Arabidopsis thaliana: one gene and its partners. The main gene of each other region encodes a partner of the protein of the gene in region 2 in a complex. Each region holds a gene or a part of one and is shown on either strand. Other genes may lie near its edges.

What was found.
Region 1: AT4G17020 (region 2) and AT1G18340 share a complex: the UniProt entries of both Arabidopsis thaliana proteins name them as parts of the 7-subunit TFIIH core complex.
Region 3: AT4G17020 (region 2) and GTF2H2 share a complex: the UniProt entries of both Arabidopsis thaliana proteins name them as parts of the 7-subunit TFIIH core complex.

What each region holds. Positions count from the first base shown.
Region 1 is NC_003070.9:6,310,842-6,315,799, reverse strand, and holds AT1G18340 (basal transcription factor complex subunit-like protein), read left to right. Parts: upstream 1-1,868; 5' UTR 1,869-2,065; coding exon 2,066-2,096; intron 2,097-2,219; coding exon 2,220-2,308; intron 2,309-2,389; coding exon 2,390-2,672; intron 2,673-2,941; coding exon 2,942-2,988; intron 2,989-3,181; coding exon 3,182-3,219; intron 3,220-3,305; coding exon 3,306-3,351; intron 3,352-3,450; coding exon 3,451-3,504; intron 3,505-3,588; coding exon 3,589-3,657; intron 3,658-3,764; coding exon 3,765-3,841; intron 3,842-3,925; coding exon 3,926-4,021; intron 4,022-4,112; coding exon 4,113-4,188; 3' UTR 4,189-4,357; downstream 4,358-4,958. Other genes in the region: MKK7 (MAP kinase kinase 7), read right to left, coding at 1-114; AT1G18335 (Acyl-CoA N-acyltransferases (NAT) superfamily protein), read left to right, coding at 4,474-4,578, 4,676-4,778. UniProt on the Arabidopsis thaliana protein: Component of the general transcription and DNA repair factor IIH (TFIIH) core complex, which is involved in general and transcription-coupled nucleotide excision repair (NER) of damaged DNA and, when complexed to CAK, in RNA transcription by RNA polymerase II.
Region 2 is NC_003075.7:9,577,233-9,583,475, forward strand, and holds AT4G17020 (transcription factor-like protein), read right to left. Parts: upstream 4,208-6,243; 5' UTR 3,851-4,207; coding exon 3,738-3,850; intron 3,668-3,737; coding exon 3,500-3,667; intron 3,245-3,499; coding exon 3,176-3,244; intron 3,082-3,175; coding exon 2,988-3,081; intron 2,869-2,987; coding exon 2,768-2,868; intron 2,687-2,767; coding exon 2,641-2,686; intron 2,567-2,640; coding exon 2,507-2,566; intron 2,428-2,506; coding exon 2,359-2,427; intron 2,247-2,358; coding exon 2,163-2,246; intron 2,041-2,162; coding exon 1,957-2,040; intron 1,861-1,956; coding exon 1,775-1,860; intron 1,685-1,774; coding exon 1,594-1,684; intron 1,441-1,593; coding exon 1,360-1,440; intron 1,222-1,359; coding exon 1,147-1,221; intron 1,058-1,146; coding exon 924-1,057; coding exon of another isoform or gene 920-923; exon of another isoform or gene 835-919; coding exon 741-834; coding exon of another isoform or gene 707-740; 3' UTR 643-706; downstream 1-642. Other genes in the region: AT4G17010 (transcription factor IIIB), read left to right, coding at 141-395; EXLB1 (expansin-like B1), read right to left, coding at 4,585-4,782, 4,918-5,229, 5,361-5,470, 5,817-5,949. UniProt on the Arabidopsis thaliana protein: Component of the general transcription and DNA repair factor IIH (TFIIH) core complex, which is involved in general and transcription-coupled nucleotide excision repair (NER) of damaged DNA and, when complexed to CAK, in RNA transcription by RNA polymerase II.
Region 3 is NC_003070.9:1,448,007-1,452,497, forward strand, and holds GTF2H2 (general transcription factor II H2), read right to left. Parts: upstream 2,896-4,491; 5' UTR 2,847-2,895; coding exon 2,571-2,846; intron 2,169-2,570; coding exon 1,707-2,168; intron 1,610-1,706; coding exon 1,231-1,609; intron 1,056-1,230; coding exon 907-1,055; 3' UTR 625-906; downstream 1-624. Other genes in the region: AT1G05040 (UBA-like domain protein), read right to left, coding at 1-50, 135-442; AT1G05060 (coiled-coil protein), read right to left, coding at 3,249-3,356, 3,445-3,531, 3,659-3,750, 4,289-4,413. UniProt on the Arabidopsis thaliana protein: Component of the general transcription and DNA repair factor IIH (TFIIH) core complex, which is involved in general and transcription-coupled nucleotide excision repair (NER) of damaged DNA and, when complexed to CAK, in RNA transcription by RNA polymerase II.

The DNA of each region.
Region 1 (4,958 bases), on a different chromosome or scaffold from region 2:
GTTGTTGATGACGGGGGCGGTGGATGAGGCAAAGGAGAACCAGGGGAGGTGAACAGAGAGCGGTGGGACAGGGAGACGGAGGTTGATTTGACGGCGTTTACGAACAAGAGCCATGGAAATAGAAGAGAGAGAGAGAGAGTGATGATGGTGATCGAAGAGTGATGGAAGTTGCAGTTTTTATATGGAGACTTGAGTGGGATTTAAGTGAGGAGCCTGGGAAGCTAATAAATCTTTCCATTAAATGTTAATCACTCTTTTTTGTTCTTTATCTTAATTATTATTTGTTGAGTTGTATCTAAAAATGGCAACTAGTGTGTCTACCGTTTATGTTTATCTTGCACGAGGTTAAATGCATGGGACTGCTATCTGTCCTACTTACCCGGAACCTGGCTATAGTGGCTTGTGTATATTGAGATAAATCTACGCAATAATGATTAGATTTATATACATTTAAAGAGTTTGTTTTAGTGATTTTGAATGGTAACTCAATTATCAAAGTTTGTTACAGCCTGTATCGTGATAATTACAAATTACAAAGGCGTTATAAAAGCGTTACTTTTAACGTTTTGCATTAATGATTAGATTTATATGCATTTAAAGAGTTTGTTTTAGTGATTTTGAATGGTAACTCAATTATCAAAGTTTGGTACAGCATGTACCGTGATATTACAAATTACAAAAGCGTTATAAAAACGTTATTTTTAACTTTTTGTACTACTTATTTATATAGTTTTGCATTCTAATTTACAGCTAAAACAACTTTAAAGCTTTGTGTTACCTATCAGAATCGTTATCTTCACATTCAAACACATAATCCATTGTTGTTGAAAAATAATAATACTTTCAAAACATTTATTTTAGTGATATTAATTTGACTTGATAGTAAGATTATTATTTACTCATAAAGACATTGGTGGAATTTAGTTATATAATTTTCATATACTAAACTATAGGAGATTTTAAAGTTTAATGTGAATTTGTGAGGTTCAATGTACCTCGGAGGCTAAGGACTTCTAATGAAAATGACCAAACAATAAGTTATATTTAGGCCATCATGCAAAAGCTTTCCAATGGCCATCGCCATTAATATTGCCAAGTTAATTATTAATATGATTTTAGTAAAAACTATGATTAGATCTTCAGATTCTTAGTGGACAGTCACACATGACCCTACGGATTACAAGTATTTAGCATGTCGATTGTCATGCGCGTATATATCCAAAGAATACTGAATAAAAATAATATGAAGTCAATCAAATGAATAACAATCAAATTATATGAAGTCAATCAAACCTTTATGAATGTGATTTGCTTCTTTTTCCAACCAAAAAACTTGTTTGTTTATTTGTTAGTTGTTACTCCCAAAAAAATGTAGTAAGCTTTTTATGCCCCATGTATTATATATCAAGACGATCTCCAAACATGACTATAGTTTCATAGGATGGATTGGATATCAGGACATGTGTGAATTTACTAATTTTTAGTATTGAAACAAACAACATTTCAACCAAAATTTTTTACCATTAAAATTAATATATCGACGTCCGATAGTATAAAGCTTGAATAAACTGAATTTCGTATCAGTAGCCAGTTTGAAAAATAAATTTGTTCCTTGAGATTTTGGTGTTCTTTTCCAAAAGAAAGAACAAAGAAAACAAAAGGCCCTTGTAAAAGGCGGTTTAGTTCATAAAGAAAACTGGGCCTATCTAAAAATTTGAACTAATGCCATATTTGGGCTTAGTAAGCCCGGCTTACGATACGACGTTTATAGTCGGATCTGATTCGGATCCAAACCCGTTTGATGGATCCGGCTCCTACCAAATCACTTCAGATTTCTGTATAAGCTAAAAATCCTTGAATTTTTCAGTAAGTTACTATAGCATCCGAGAATTTCATTCTTTAACTCTGGTTCGTAATCGGAAAACTCAAAGACCTGTTGTGAAGATATATTGGAGAAGAAAAAAAAAACGATTTCCCGGCACTGAAATAGCATTATCAGATCTCGTTCCCACCGGGAAGATTTCCCGGCACACTGAAATTCTGACTTGGAATCGTCTGTGAAACTATGCCTGCCATTGCTTCTAAGCAGTATTCAGGTTATTATTAAATTCCTCTTACTTCGAAACCCTCACATTCCTCAATCGTATAAGTATGTAGATTAGATATCCCAAAAACTGGAAACAAGTCTGATTGGCTCGTGATTGTTTTTTTGGTCGCAGACGATGTTAGTCTTCTAGTTTTGTTGCTTGATACGAATCCTCTTTTCTGGAGCACTACATCGATTACCTTCTCTCAGTTCCTTTCTCATGTAAGTGTCTCTAACGAATCTATTGTTTGTTTGTTCAATGCTTCGATTTTTATGCAGAAAGCTTGCTGCTGTTATGTGTAGGTGCTTGCGTTTCTTAATGCGGTTTTGGGGTTAAATCAGTTGAACCAAGTTGTAGTTATAGCTACTGGATACAGTTCTTGTGATTACATTTATGATTCGTCTTTGACATCAAATCATGGAAATTTCGAGAGCAATGGAACTGGAATGCCTGCAATTTTTGGTTCTTTGCTTAAGAAATTGGAAGAGTTTGTTACCAAAGATGAGGAGCTCAGCAAGGAGGAAGTGTCTGAGGATAGAATACCTTCTTGTCTCTTGTCAGGATCACTCTCCATGGCTCTTTGCTGTATCCTCTTGGAAAAGCATATAGCATCATGATAGGTTTCTTGAAGCTATATATAGTACAAACTATTAGGATTTGTTTGCATAAGTTCTGGCAGTGATCTTGAAGCTTAGCTTTCTCTCTAGACTGGGTTAAGTAAGGAACATTTTAGGTTGACATGTTTGTTCTCAGCTAAACCTATAGCATGTCTAAGGCCATCAATGTTATCTGGTAATATATGTATTTGATTTTCAGTCTTCACATTTTGTTGTTGACTTAATTTATGGCTCTAGATATACAGAGGGTTTTCCGTTCTGGACATCTTCATCCCCAGCCTCGGGTGAGTGTTCAGTAGGATATATGTATCAATCAGTTGTCTTGGATAAAACTTTTCATGTTGATTGCTTTGTATGAATCTTCAGCTTAAAGTATTAATGAGAATATAGACTCCTTTTTCTTATGTGTTATCTGTTCTATCGTATACCCCCAAAATACAGAACTGATTGTGCTATTGACGTTTATATGAAATACAGATTTTATGCTTGCAAGGTTCCCCAGATGGCCCGGAACAGTATGTTTCTTCCTTCATTTTTTTTCTACTTGCAAGATTTTGTCTTGTTTGTCTGGTCTCATTAAAAGGTTTTGTCATTCTTTCAGGTATGTTGCTGTTATGAACTCTATCTTCTCTGCCCAACGCTTGATGGTAATCTTCATTTTGATTGGTTCTTTGGGATTTCCGGTTCTTGATGTTCTCTAAATCCAGTATCATGTACCCAAATCACTTCATCAATTGGTTCTTTAGGTTCCCATTGATTCGTGTTACATAGGTGTACAGAACTCAGCATTTTTGCAGCAGGTAATATCATTTCTCCTTTATACATGATTCTAACTCGTCAAACTGGACCTATGCGTCAGCTGTTATCTCCTGGCTTATTTGTAGGCATCTTATATAACTGGTGGTGTACATCATACACCTAAACAGTTGGATGGGCTATTTCAATATCTAACGGTACGCAACTCAAGTCCAAACGCAAACCATTATGTGACTCGTCTCTCATTTAGCGAACTCAATACTCAATGGCTGCTAACTCTGGATTGTTTTGTTTTGCACAAAAGACAATCTTTGCAACCGATTTGCACTCCCGCGGTTTTGTACAACTTCCTAAACCCATAGGTGTAGATTTTCGCGCATCGTAAGTGATCAAGTCATTAACTCTTCAATTAATCGGGTCTTCCTCTGCATATATAACAGATGGTTTTAAGTACAAAATTTGCAGGTGCTTTTGCCACAAGAAGACAATAGATATGGGCTACATATGCTCAGTGTGTCTGTCCATTTTCTGTGAGCATCACAAGAAATGTTCAACCTGCGGGTAAGAGATTTGACCCGTCATGTTCTTTCTCAAGATAACAATCTATCATGTTGTTTGATACTAATATCGAAAAGCTTTTGGAAATTTGCAGGTCTGTATTTGGTCAGTCTAAACTTGATGATGCTTCATCTGCCTCTGATAAGAAGAGAAAAGCTCCTAGTACCTAAAATCATCTTTTGTGCCAGAGAGAAACTGCAAACTTTGTTTAATTGTGTCTTTGCGTTCATTTTCGATAATTTTTATACCATATATCAAAGTGAAATCAATTTTGCAAAGTTTTTGACTCTTTTTTTTTCCTTGAGATAGTACCCGTTGACTTGAGCAAACAAAACAAAAAGGCCTCTAATAGTCCATATAGAAAGTTGGGCTTCTCTATCGAATTTGAACGAATACGACATTTGGGCTGACGTCATTTATTATTGTCGGATCTATTTCGGGTCCAAACCCGTTTGATGGATCCGTCTCCTACCGAATCACTTCAGACGTGGAGAACGAACGAGACAGAGGGAAGAGAATCATCGGTGTGGCGAGCAATGGATTTGAAGAAACGGCGAAAGGTAAAAAAAATCTCGGAAGTAATGTGTATGTTTCATAGCACTCGAAATTTCGATCTTTGATTTTGTTCGAAATCGATAATTGAGAATTGTCGTGCAGATTTTGGAGAAGAAAAAGACGATTCATGACCTTATAAAAAGAGCTTCTTCCATTGACGATCCTCTTTCTCCGTTTGATTCTTTCCGCCGTTACCGAAGAAACGGTAAATTTGTTCTTCTGCTCAATTTTATTTTCGCCAGTTTCTCAAAAATATGGGATTTTGTTTATGCGAACTGATTATCATTGACAATGATTTGATGCATATAAACTTACTTTTACAATTCCTAATGTTACTACATTATGAAGTAGATGTAGTGTTAGTTGGAATTCGTGCTTTTTAACA
Region 2 (6,243 bases):
GAAAGCAGAAATTTTTGGAAGAAAAGAGTGAAATCAGTGCCAGAGTCTGTGTTCCATAAATCAGAGAGTCTTTTGTTCTACTTTTGTTCGTGTTAGGAGAATATAAGTCTAAGTATGTTTTGGGTCTTTTACCAATACAGGAGGCTCAAATTGAAGACTACTTCAAACCGATAGACAAGCATGCTAGTACCATAATGGAAATTCAGCTCGAAGGAGAGAAGAAAACGATGGGGACAATGATGAACGCAACACAACAGGAAGCTATACGAAAGATTGAAGAAGCTGAGAAACTCGCTCGGGCACGTGGAAATGCAAATGTGACTACAGATGCAAACATGGGAGATAAGATCCAGGATTCAGAGTCCTCAGCCAACGAAAAATCTCAAGCAAAATGAAGTCAGATCTTGTCTTCATGTTGACACAGAATAGATTCAGCGTCTCTGAATACATCCTCTTAGTTGATTAAACTGAGATTGTAGCCTCGCATTTGCTGAGGTTTTAATAATTTTGAAATTTGGTCAACTGAATAGAATCAAAACCGAGATTGTGTTCTGTCTAGCGTACAAGAAATTATAGAGGTGACCCTGGTTGGACCATCCCCAACGACCACGTTTTGTCAATATATGTTGTTTCAAACTTAACTTCGCCTAATAAAGTATATTGTGATTTACAATGGATCGGTCTTACAGCTTAAAGGTTTCAACTTTCAACTTCGTGGGTACCAACACCAAGTACTTTTCCTACGTTTGGGGTGCGCATGTGTTAGCAGGATAAAAACGATGGTAACTAATAGAGTAACAAGACATCAAATGGCTACTCTTTTTTCTCTTTCTGCTGAAACCTCACGAAAGACATAGTTTGTAGAATCGAAGCATGATGTTTTGTTTTAATACGAGAAGAAAATGTGAGTTTCTTCTTGTTACCTGCTTTGGGTATGAAGAAACTCACGCATCTGATTGTGAACTTCGGATTTCACAACAAGTCGCATTCTCTTAGAGTCTTCCCAAAGAAGGCCTCTCCATTCCCGAGCAAAGTCACAAGCTGCCTCAAACACATCCTGCTAACATGATTTTGGTTAATGAGATTTACTATAACGGTTTTGCGTTATGGAGAAGAGAAAATAATAAGAGGGTTCAGGTTTGTTACTTTTGAAGGAAATTCATCATAGAAGTGAGCCTGGGTCATCTCAATTCTCTGCAGATCTGTCTCCCAAAGCCGAATCTGCCAGAACAATGCATTTTTATTCAACATAAGCCTGATGAATCAGGACGTAGAGATAGTATACACTTTCAATTCTATAAACCAATCCTATACACATTTTTGTATAATCGACACTTGATGGGCATAGAGAGTATAAACCTGATCAGTGACATTTTCTGGAATAGATGGGACTCGATCAGCACATCGTGGATGAGAATTCTGCTGGAGGAAAGTTATAATCTGTGACAATCAAAAGAAAAGGAAAAAATATTTATTCAGAAACTATAAAGAGACGCATCAACAATTTGATCAACATTTCAAGGACAGTGAGGATCCGGGCAAAATCATGTATTCGATAACTTCAAAATGTTTTTCAACTGAAACCAACTGTACCTGATCTGATGTGATGCCATTGTCAAATGCATTGTACAAACTTTCCTTTGTAATGGCACAAGCAATAAGGTTTGGAAGTTGGTACTCTATCCTGGAAATAATGAAGCACCAACTACTTAGACCTAAAGGATTTTAAGACACAGAAGAGTAAAGTTTCAGGTCGATGTTCAGGAGCTTCTACCTCGCAAATAGTCGTAAAATTTCACACTGTAACTTAGATGTGGAGTACGCATACATTCTGAAGTTTGTTTCCATCACGACAAATCCCTGATGAGGAACAACAAACAACAGCGATACACAAAATCAAGAAAATTGTTGGTAGCAGGTAGATATGGGACAAGAGGGGAATAAAAAAGGTGTGACCTCTTTTCGCGCTGATGAATCTGCCAGACTGACTGATAAATTTGTAGCCAGTTTAGTAGGAATAAACCAACTGTCTTTCCTTCCCTTCAATAATCATAAAGACTGGCTCAGCATGTGATATAGTTCTATAATCATAACTTTAGCAAAGTTTTTTTTCTTTTGATATTTGGTAATAAAAAAAATATTACAAATGGTCTAAGTCTAACCTGTTGAAGCTTGACTAATCCCAAGTCTGCAAGGTCCTTGAGGGTATTGTTTTGAACCTCTGTCAAGGTATTTAAGTTATATGCCTGCAATGTGTAAGCTCACCGAAATAATTAACAAGCATCCCGCTAAATCAAGTAAGAGTAAAAACAAGAACAAGAACGCTTGAAATGACTTTTTTGTGAAGTTCTGTTATACCTGACCAGTAACATGAAAACTAAGCTCCAACAAAAACGAAATCAAGTCTGCTGGATCTACATCTCGCTCCTGAGAAACACTGGCATTGGGTTATCCATTCGGCGAAATAGAGATATCAATTTCACAAAACCTTAGGAATAATACAAACCTCGGCATTCAATATGTATTCTCGAATAATGTACCAAAGCTGGGCATTTGTATCCATCAGCTGAAAATTGAGGTCAATCAGGTTACTTACATGAATACAGGTAATTATAGACCACTGACTCACGATTTGCATACCAAAAACTGAAAGCCACTCTCAGTTAATCTCGGGCCATCTTTGTCTCTGCAATATTACATGAAGTGTATCAAATAGGGAGGCTATATGCCACCACTATGCATCTATAGACGTGTATGAAAACATTACCTCTGACTCAATAAACCTCGCTGAAAAATTTTCATCATGGATGAACTGATGCCAGTTAGTTTTTCACCTTGACCCGAATTTATAAGTTGTAGCAAGAAACACTGACAAACATAAGTACACATCATCAGATACTAACCAAGTTCATATTAAAAGATATTTGTTTTACAAATTACTTCCACCTTACTAGTATTATCAATAAGAAATTAGGAAATACACACACCTCCCATTGCTTAAGTGCATAGGTTTCGAGTTCTTGTAGGCTTGGAAGTTTAATGGCATTGTCGGAGTTCATAGGCTCTCTAGGCAAAACTCCACTGCAAAATTCAAATTTAGCTCATCAGCATCTTCTCCAAAAGCCTAGAGAAAAAACGAAAAAGGAGAGTACCGTCAATGTAAAGATGTCTTTACCCGGAAATAATATGTTTCTGAAGATTGTTCTGAAATGTAGGATTTAGGCTGTAGCTGGTTCCCCTTTTCCTGCAAAAGTACGAAGAGCAGCTTAAGAACTAAATCTGAACTATCATCTTGCCACATACAATCATAATCAATCCAAACACAGTAAATTGAAGTATAAGATGAAGCTCATAGGGTTCAATGCTCAAGTTAACATCCACCATCACTCTTTTAAATAAATATATCAAATAAACCCTCCAACGTGAATAGACAGAAGTATTGAACTAACTGAAATAAGTCAAATCATGACAGTATCAAGAATAAAGCAAGAATGCATACCTATCACTAATTTCTGAAAAAATCCTTAATTGAATCAGTCGATCAATAGCAACTCTATGTTTAGAGGTGCCATCTGCGAGCACCCACTCCTCCATCATCGTAGCAGGTACAGGAACATCAATGTACAACATCTGCAATACATACTTCTTGGCAAGAGGCGGCAAAGACCTGACACCATCTTAAGAATGTAAGATCCTCAATTTTTTCAAAATTCAACAACATAGACACATAAATTAACCTGAGAATGGCTTCGCAGATAAAGACATTGTTGTAGAGTTTGTCAAGCTTGATGGCTGGAAGTGACGCCACCATGTCCATGAAATTTTTAGCAATGATCTTAACTTGCGGCATCTTCACCAATTGGATTCCCTTACTCACTGGACCGGTTCTAAAAGAGCACAGTTTCCACGAAATTAGGGTTTATGCCACACAGCGATCAGCTCGAAGCAAACCTAGTTAACTAAAGCATCTCCTCAAAAAAAACAAATCCAAAACAGTTCTAAACAAGAACTCCAGAAAACAAATAAGGAAGGATTTAAAGTTTCGGGTTCGAGTTTGAGAACAATACAGAATTGAATTTAAAGTTTAGGTTCTCTCTTTTCTCGATGAGCTCTTCTACAATTGATCCCGATTATTTACTACCCAGAATCAAAGAAAACTGACGAAATCGATCGAAGAGGATGGCCAAGATAAATTAAGTTTTAATGGGCCTTGTGAATACTACTAATGGGCCTATCTATATAACAAAAATCGCGCCAATTTGTTTTCATGAAAATGGTTGATTAGGGAGAGATATATGCTTGACTGACCAAAATGTAAACAAAAAAAGCTTACGAAACGTTTGATCATCATCTGATAAATTGATTAGTACTGATTTATTCCATCAAAATCAAACTCATACAAACCATTACAATCTTCTTAGTGAGACACAATACATAAATTATATATGAATCTACTACGATTATTTATATTATCATCATTAATTATATTGTCCTAGAGGGCATTATTTAAATATATTAGCCATTGCATACAGAAACCATAATAAATACTATATGATAAAAACACACTGATGAAAAGTGAATCAATTAAGTAAGTAGAATGTTGGAGTCGTAGGTGGCTCCGGCAGTCCAATCAGCGGGAATAGCGTTTGGCGATTGGATCCAATTGATTCCTGCGCTTCCGTAGACTAAGAACCTCAATGTGAGAGTGCCTCTAGGTGGATTCTGCAAATCATGAACCGCTCCAAACACTCTTCTCATACGTCTCCACTCTTTGCAATCCTCCTAAAATCATACATATACATGCATACCATATAATAACGTTTAACTTTGTTTCACAAAATCATCTAAGAGTAAACTATATATTTTGATCCTCAAAAACATATATCTAAGTTTCTCAACATCTTTGATTAAATTTACCTGCCAGACTTCAACGGCGAGGATGTCATTAACACCACCAACGTACAAGACAAGGATGGCAAGATAATGAGGATTGTAGCTTTTCTCATGGATCTTATACACCAGATTATACCCTGCGTATCGGCAAGGGATCCTTTGGTACTCAACGTTGACTACACCGAAGGAGTAGAGCTGATTTTCTGTGCCGGGTCGCGCCATACGTCCGTACGCCTTAGGGCTTAAGATGAAGTCCGTGCCATCTCCTTCTCCGGAGTCCGTAGCCACTACGTATACTCCTTCCTCACTGCAGTGTGGTGGTATCTTGCACCTCACCTTTTTATAATTCATAAAATAAGTTTTTTTTTCTTTCATAATATAAGTTTAGTAATTAATGACATAGCATATACTATAATAATATTTGATGAAATATTGATTGAGATAAGTAGATAACTATATATAATAACCTGGTAACAAGCACCACAGCCAGTTCCATTGTTCCATAGTCGCCATGAAACACCACTCACTTCACCGTTATTGATATCTCTTCCAAATTCTCCATACCCACAATGTCCCCCTGCATCATCAAAAAATTAATTAATTATTCTTATTCTTTCGACAAATATTATGTATATTCTCATAATGGAAAGTTATCATTACTAATTACGCAGTTAATGGACACTTAGTGGACTCGTTTTCAATCATATATGTATTTAGAATTTGAATAAACCTTCAAAATAAAACAAAACAAGAAACCTATACGTAGATATAAAACAAAAATAATTAGTTATGGCTTATAGTGAGATATTACACCAATGTATCTTTTACCAATATATAACGTGTACAAGTCTATACAACAACTAAGAAAATGAAAAAGAATTAAGGTACACGATGTATATAGCAATAACAATTTTAATACGTACGAGGATTTGCTTTGCAATCGGGGCTGCCATAATAAGTAGCTCTAGAGTTAACAAAATCGTCGGATAGACAAAGGAGAGGCAAAAGGACAATGACTTGAACAAATAGAAGAAGCAAAACGTGAGAATGCTTCATATTGTTGTTATCTTATCTATAAATATTGTAAGATTATTAATACTTCTAACTCTTTTTCTTAACAAATGATAGGAATTGATAATAGAATTTCTTATCACAAAAGATAGTGAAGATAGATGAGAGACTTAGTAGGGTATTTATAGCTGCAGCTAGAGTGCTTATTACAATTATACAATTGATCGAGCATCGTCACTATTTTTTACTTTCCACTTGGCAAAAAGCTTAAAGCTAACTCAATTTTTTTATATAGTTTAACTTGGTATTAAATTAAATGTTTACATCATACATCTGCCA
Region 3 (4,491 bases), on a different chromosome or scaffold from region 2:
CATGAGATATATCATCAGAATCATGAAGCTCTCTTCCACTATCATCCAAACTATACAAAACAAAAGAAACAAGATTAAACATTCTTTTTAGATGATTTGGATTACCGAGCCCTTAATATTATTAAATCACCCACCTGGTGGCCAAAGCACCCGTATCAGAGCTTTTCGTTATGGTTATCTCATCTTGGCGCATCTTCAGCGTAAATTCCGAGACAGAGGTAGTAGAGTATCTTCTTCTTAAAGGAGATCGAGATCGCTCTCGCCATTCATTCACCCTCCGTGGAGTCGCTCTTATTTTGAGCGGAGGAAGTTGATCACCGAGGAAACCAGAGATGGCGTCTTCGAGATTCCAGTCGAATCCTTCAAGGTAGTAGAATGCTGCATCTTTACACGCAGACGTTGCCTTGCAGAACCTAGTGACGTTAGTATCTTCTTCCTTCATGGTGGTGTTAGGGACTTTTCTCAAAGATTAAGTACGTTGTTTACTTATGACAATCACTAAGAATTGTTTCACTTAGATCTAATATAAAAGCTTCTAACAAACAGAGAGATATTTAGGGAAGTAGTTGCGACCTTGTCATGACAGTATCAACAAACAACTGATGATACGGTCTCCTTTTGTTTACCACCGAAATAATTCTTTATTACTACTGTTCGTTTTCTCATGAGTGAAGAAATTTCAAGCCCAAGTTAAATAGAAAATCAAACAATTAAGAATGCTATCTCTGAAAATTTGAGTCGGTTTGTTTTGGATCAATTGTGAGAGAGCAATAGAGTCCACAAAAGAAGAAAGATTTTGGTTAAGGACATAAGACCAATTACAACATCCTATATCACAAAAAAAATTGCTTCCTCTCATCATCTCAATTGTGATTTATAATTGGAAGTGTGAACACATTCATTCTCTCATTCTTCCATCAAAGAAACTGATTTGGGACGGTGAATGCTCTCACAGCCAGGACAGTTGTGTAAGCTCTCGTGGATGTATATGTCACAGTCCAGACAGAAATAGTGCTTGCATTTACGACATGTTACGCATGGGACGGGTTTATTCCCTAAGCAAAAAACAAAAGCACCAATGAGCCTTTATATTTGAGTGAATGGATCGGTTACTTTGTATATACTATGACAAGGGTGAACCGTATCTTAAGTTCAACTACTGGTCTAGTGACCAAATGGTTATTCAACCAACAGTATTAAGACTCTATAAAATGGTGTTCAAGTAGTTACCTGCACCAATTAGGCTCTGTTGGCAACCAAAACAACTCTTTCCCAATTTTCTCCGATTATCATTCAGACTTGAAAGTGCAGGCACCTCATCAAATGGAGCAATCGGGAAGAGATGATGGTATGATCTCGCCAAATGCGGCGAAGAAACAAGTGTTAGACCGCAGATAGTGCATTCCGTAGGGAGGTCACATACCCGAGCTTTGCATCTTGGGCACATGTAACCAGCTCCAATCTTAACTTCCTTATGACACGAACAAATCGCCATTGAACCCTCAGCAGCTCTTTGTGGGAAACCCATCTTGATCAAATTTGCAATTGCAAATTCTGCTATTGCCGGAGGTGGAGGCGCATGTTCAAGCAGAAGATCCTTTAGATGCACCTGCGTGAAAAGACAAATACACACAAAGCACAATGTTATACCATACAAAACAAGTTTTTCAAAGGTCCAAGTGTAAGTAGAAGGTAGCTAAACTCACCTCGTCCACTGCAACTGAATACAATCCGCCAGTTTCCTGGCAGAGGTGTTTACATATGAACATTTCTGCAGAGAGCCCAATTACAGAACATCTTAATTTGGATTTCTTGCATTTTTGAATGGTCTCCATGATATCGCCTGGATCACATGTGCATAAAGCTGAGTACAATATCAGAACCTCGCGGTGACCATAAGATGGAACCTGGTTGAGATGCTCATGTACAAGTTCCAGAGCGTTCTGCAAAGAGGAGTCACCCAAAGCTTCCAACTTCCCCATCAACGCTTTGATGTGAGTCTCAGGACTACCACCAAGATCTGTTAATGTATGCGCAACTCCATTTTTTATAGAGACCAACCCAATTTGACTCAGAGGATTCTGGTCAAAGAACTCTCTAATGAAAGCTTCGACATGTTTGGCCATTATAGCCATCCGGCTTGGTCTGAAATCCATTTCCGCAGCTGCCTAGACACGACAAAACAGTCCAAAGTGTAAGACTTTGCATACCTTGGAACTAGAGAAATTTGAACCCAAATCATAATGTTGCCTTCAATAAAGAATCTGAATAAGGATCACATCCTTAAGCTCTACAAACCCACTTAGAGTAAGATTATCATTGCAAACAATACAGAGCCAATTATAGAACCTATTGAGAAGACTAAAGAGCAGAGATCTCCAAAACTAGAACGACGATTACATTAAAGTTACTTATCAGTGACCCAAAGTGCATAGTTTCTCTTTTATATAAGCTCTGATGAAAGCAACATAAGCTCAATTTCACGCCATCAAACTCAAAGGAAACGGCATTGAAGCTAAAAATCACAAAATCAGCAGCAGCAGCGGCGGATTGCAAAGAAAAATATTTACCCGAGAGAAGTCAATGACGATGTAGAGATATCGAATAAGTCCCTTTTGGATACGAGTACCAGCAGCAGCGGCGGAGAGCATACGAAGACGGCGGCGATACTGAGCATGGTAAATGGCACTGTTATCAATTGGCCGTAAAAGTCCAGACTCATCCTCTTGCAACTCCTCCCAGGATCGGTCGTCAACATAAGCTCTCTCCCACTCGCCGATACCTTCCGCATCTTCGTCGTCCTCTTCTTCTCTTTCATCGTTTGATCTCTTTCTTTGATTACTCATCGTTAACCTCACCGTCTAAGAGACCTAATTACAAAAAGAAGAAGAGAACTCTACTGAAGCCAAAATTTACATAAACAACCCTTACTTATTATAACGTTCACAATTTTGACTGTAACTTCCTATTCTGTATATTTAACCCACCAATCCATGTCCAATCAGAAGTGAAACATTTTATTTTGCTTACACAATAGGAAACATTGATATTGAAACTCATAAAAACTTTATTATACAAAACTTAAATCACTCGATACAACCTTTATACAGCAACATTGAAACTTCTTAGTTCTTACAGCACAATATGATAATTTACCTAAGATCTTATTGAATCTTACAAACATATAGAACTTCTTCTTTGACTTTCTCTATCCACATGGTTACACATTAACCAAAGGTCTTGGCCTTTTAAGATTTAGGTCCCAGAATTTTCGAAAGCTCCTTCAAGATTGGTTTCTCCTTGATAGTATTACCACCTTCATTCTCAATATGCCACTTCTTCGACATGTTTTCAGCCTGAAATTTATGGTCTTTTCGGGTTAGTCTATTAATGATTATGATCCACTTCAGTTGAGAAGATGCAAGTATCTTTGTAAAACATTACCCAAGTTCTTAAGGGCTCTACTTGTTCCTTCATCGACTCCAGTTTTGGCTGAAAAAGATCTTTGCCTTTCGTTCTTATGTCATCAGCCTAACAGAACGAAAATCATACAATAAAACCAAGTAAGGCGATGATGGCATTCAAGATCAGTCAATAATGCTTAGAAATGCTAATCTAAATGATTTAAGTAAGAAAATGGAAACATATGCAATCTTACATTACGCATGTCAAGTTTCGAGGCTGCCGTTCCAAAAACCAAAGTGGCTGAACCAAAGATGATAATAGTAGCGGCTGCAAATGCTTTTCCAACTGCAGAAACCAGAAAAATCAGAGGGCTCGAGATTAGGCAAACTTTCCGAACACTTCACGACATCAATTAACATTAAAAGACAAAAGACAATAACAGAATCTCAATCTAAGCAATATTATCAACAATTTCTAGGCTGTGAGAGAGATACTTAGATTATTTGTCATCAGAGTCAAAAAGAGACAACCAGAAAGCAGTTGTTACATTAGACACTCATGAACCCTCAGCCACGGAAAATCTTGGCTTTCATAACCAAACAAACCAAAGTTTTCTCTAGTAAGCTGAAACCTTTCAGAATTACTGCCATTGCAGTCCCTAACAAGGTAAAATAGACAAGTTTGGGCAAGCAATTTACATGATCAACATTAACAAAAGCAAGGAAGTGAAAACAGAACACGTAAAGATAGCAATCCTTCTATCTCTAGCAAACAACCCAAATCTAGTCATGTTCCTCTGTAGGTAACTGTATCCATAAATCCAATTATCCACGTTCAAAAAGATTTGATTTGCAGATAAACAAAAGAAGAGAAGTGATCATACTATGTTGAAGCCCTTCACCAGCAGCTTTCAATTTCTCAGGATTTACAGGAGTGCCGTATCTGTCTCTCCTCAATTCATTAGCTGTTGACGCCAAAACCGAATTCTCAGATTCCGGTAAATCCCATCTGCAATAAAAATCGACACAAATTAACAACAAATCCAAAATTTTGAAATACTCATCAAGTGAAACAGAGTATAAAACC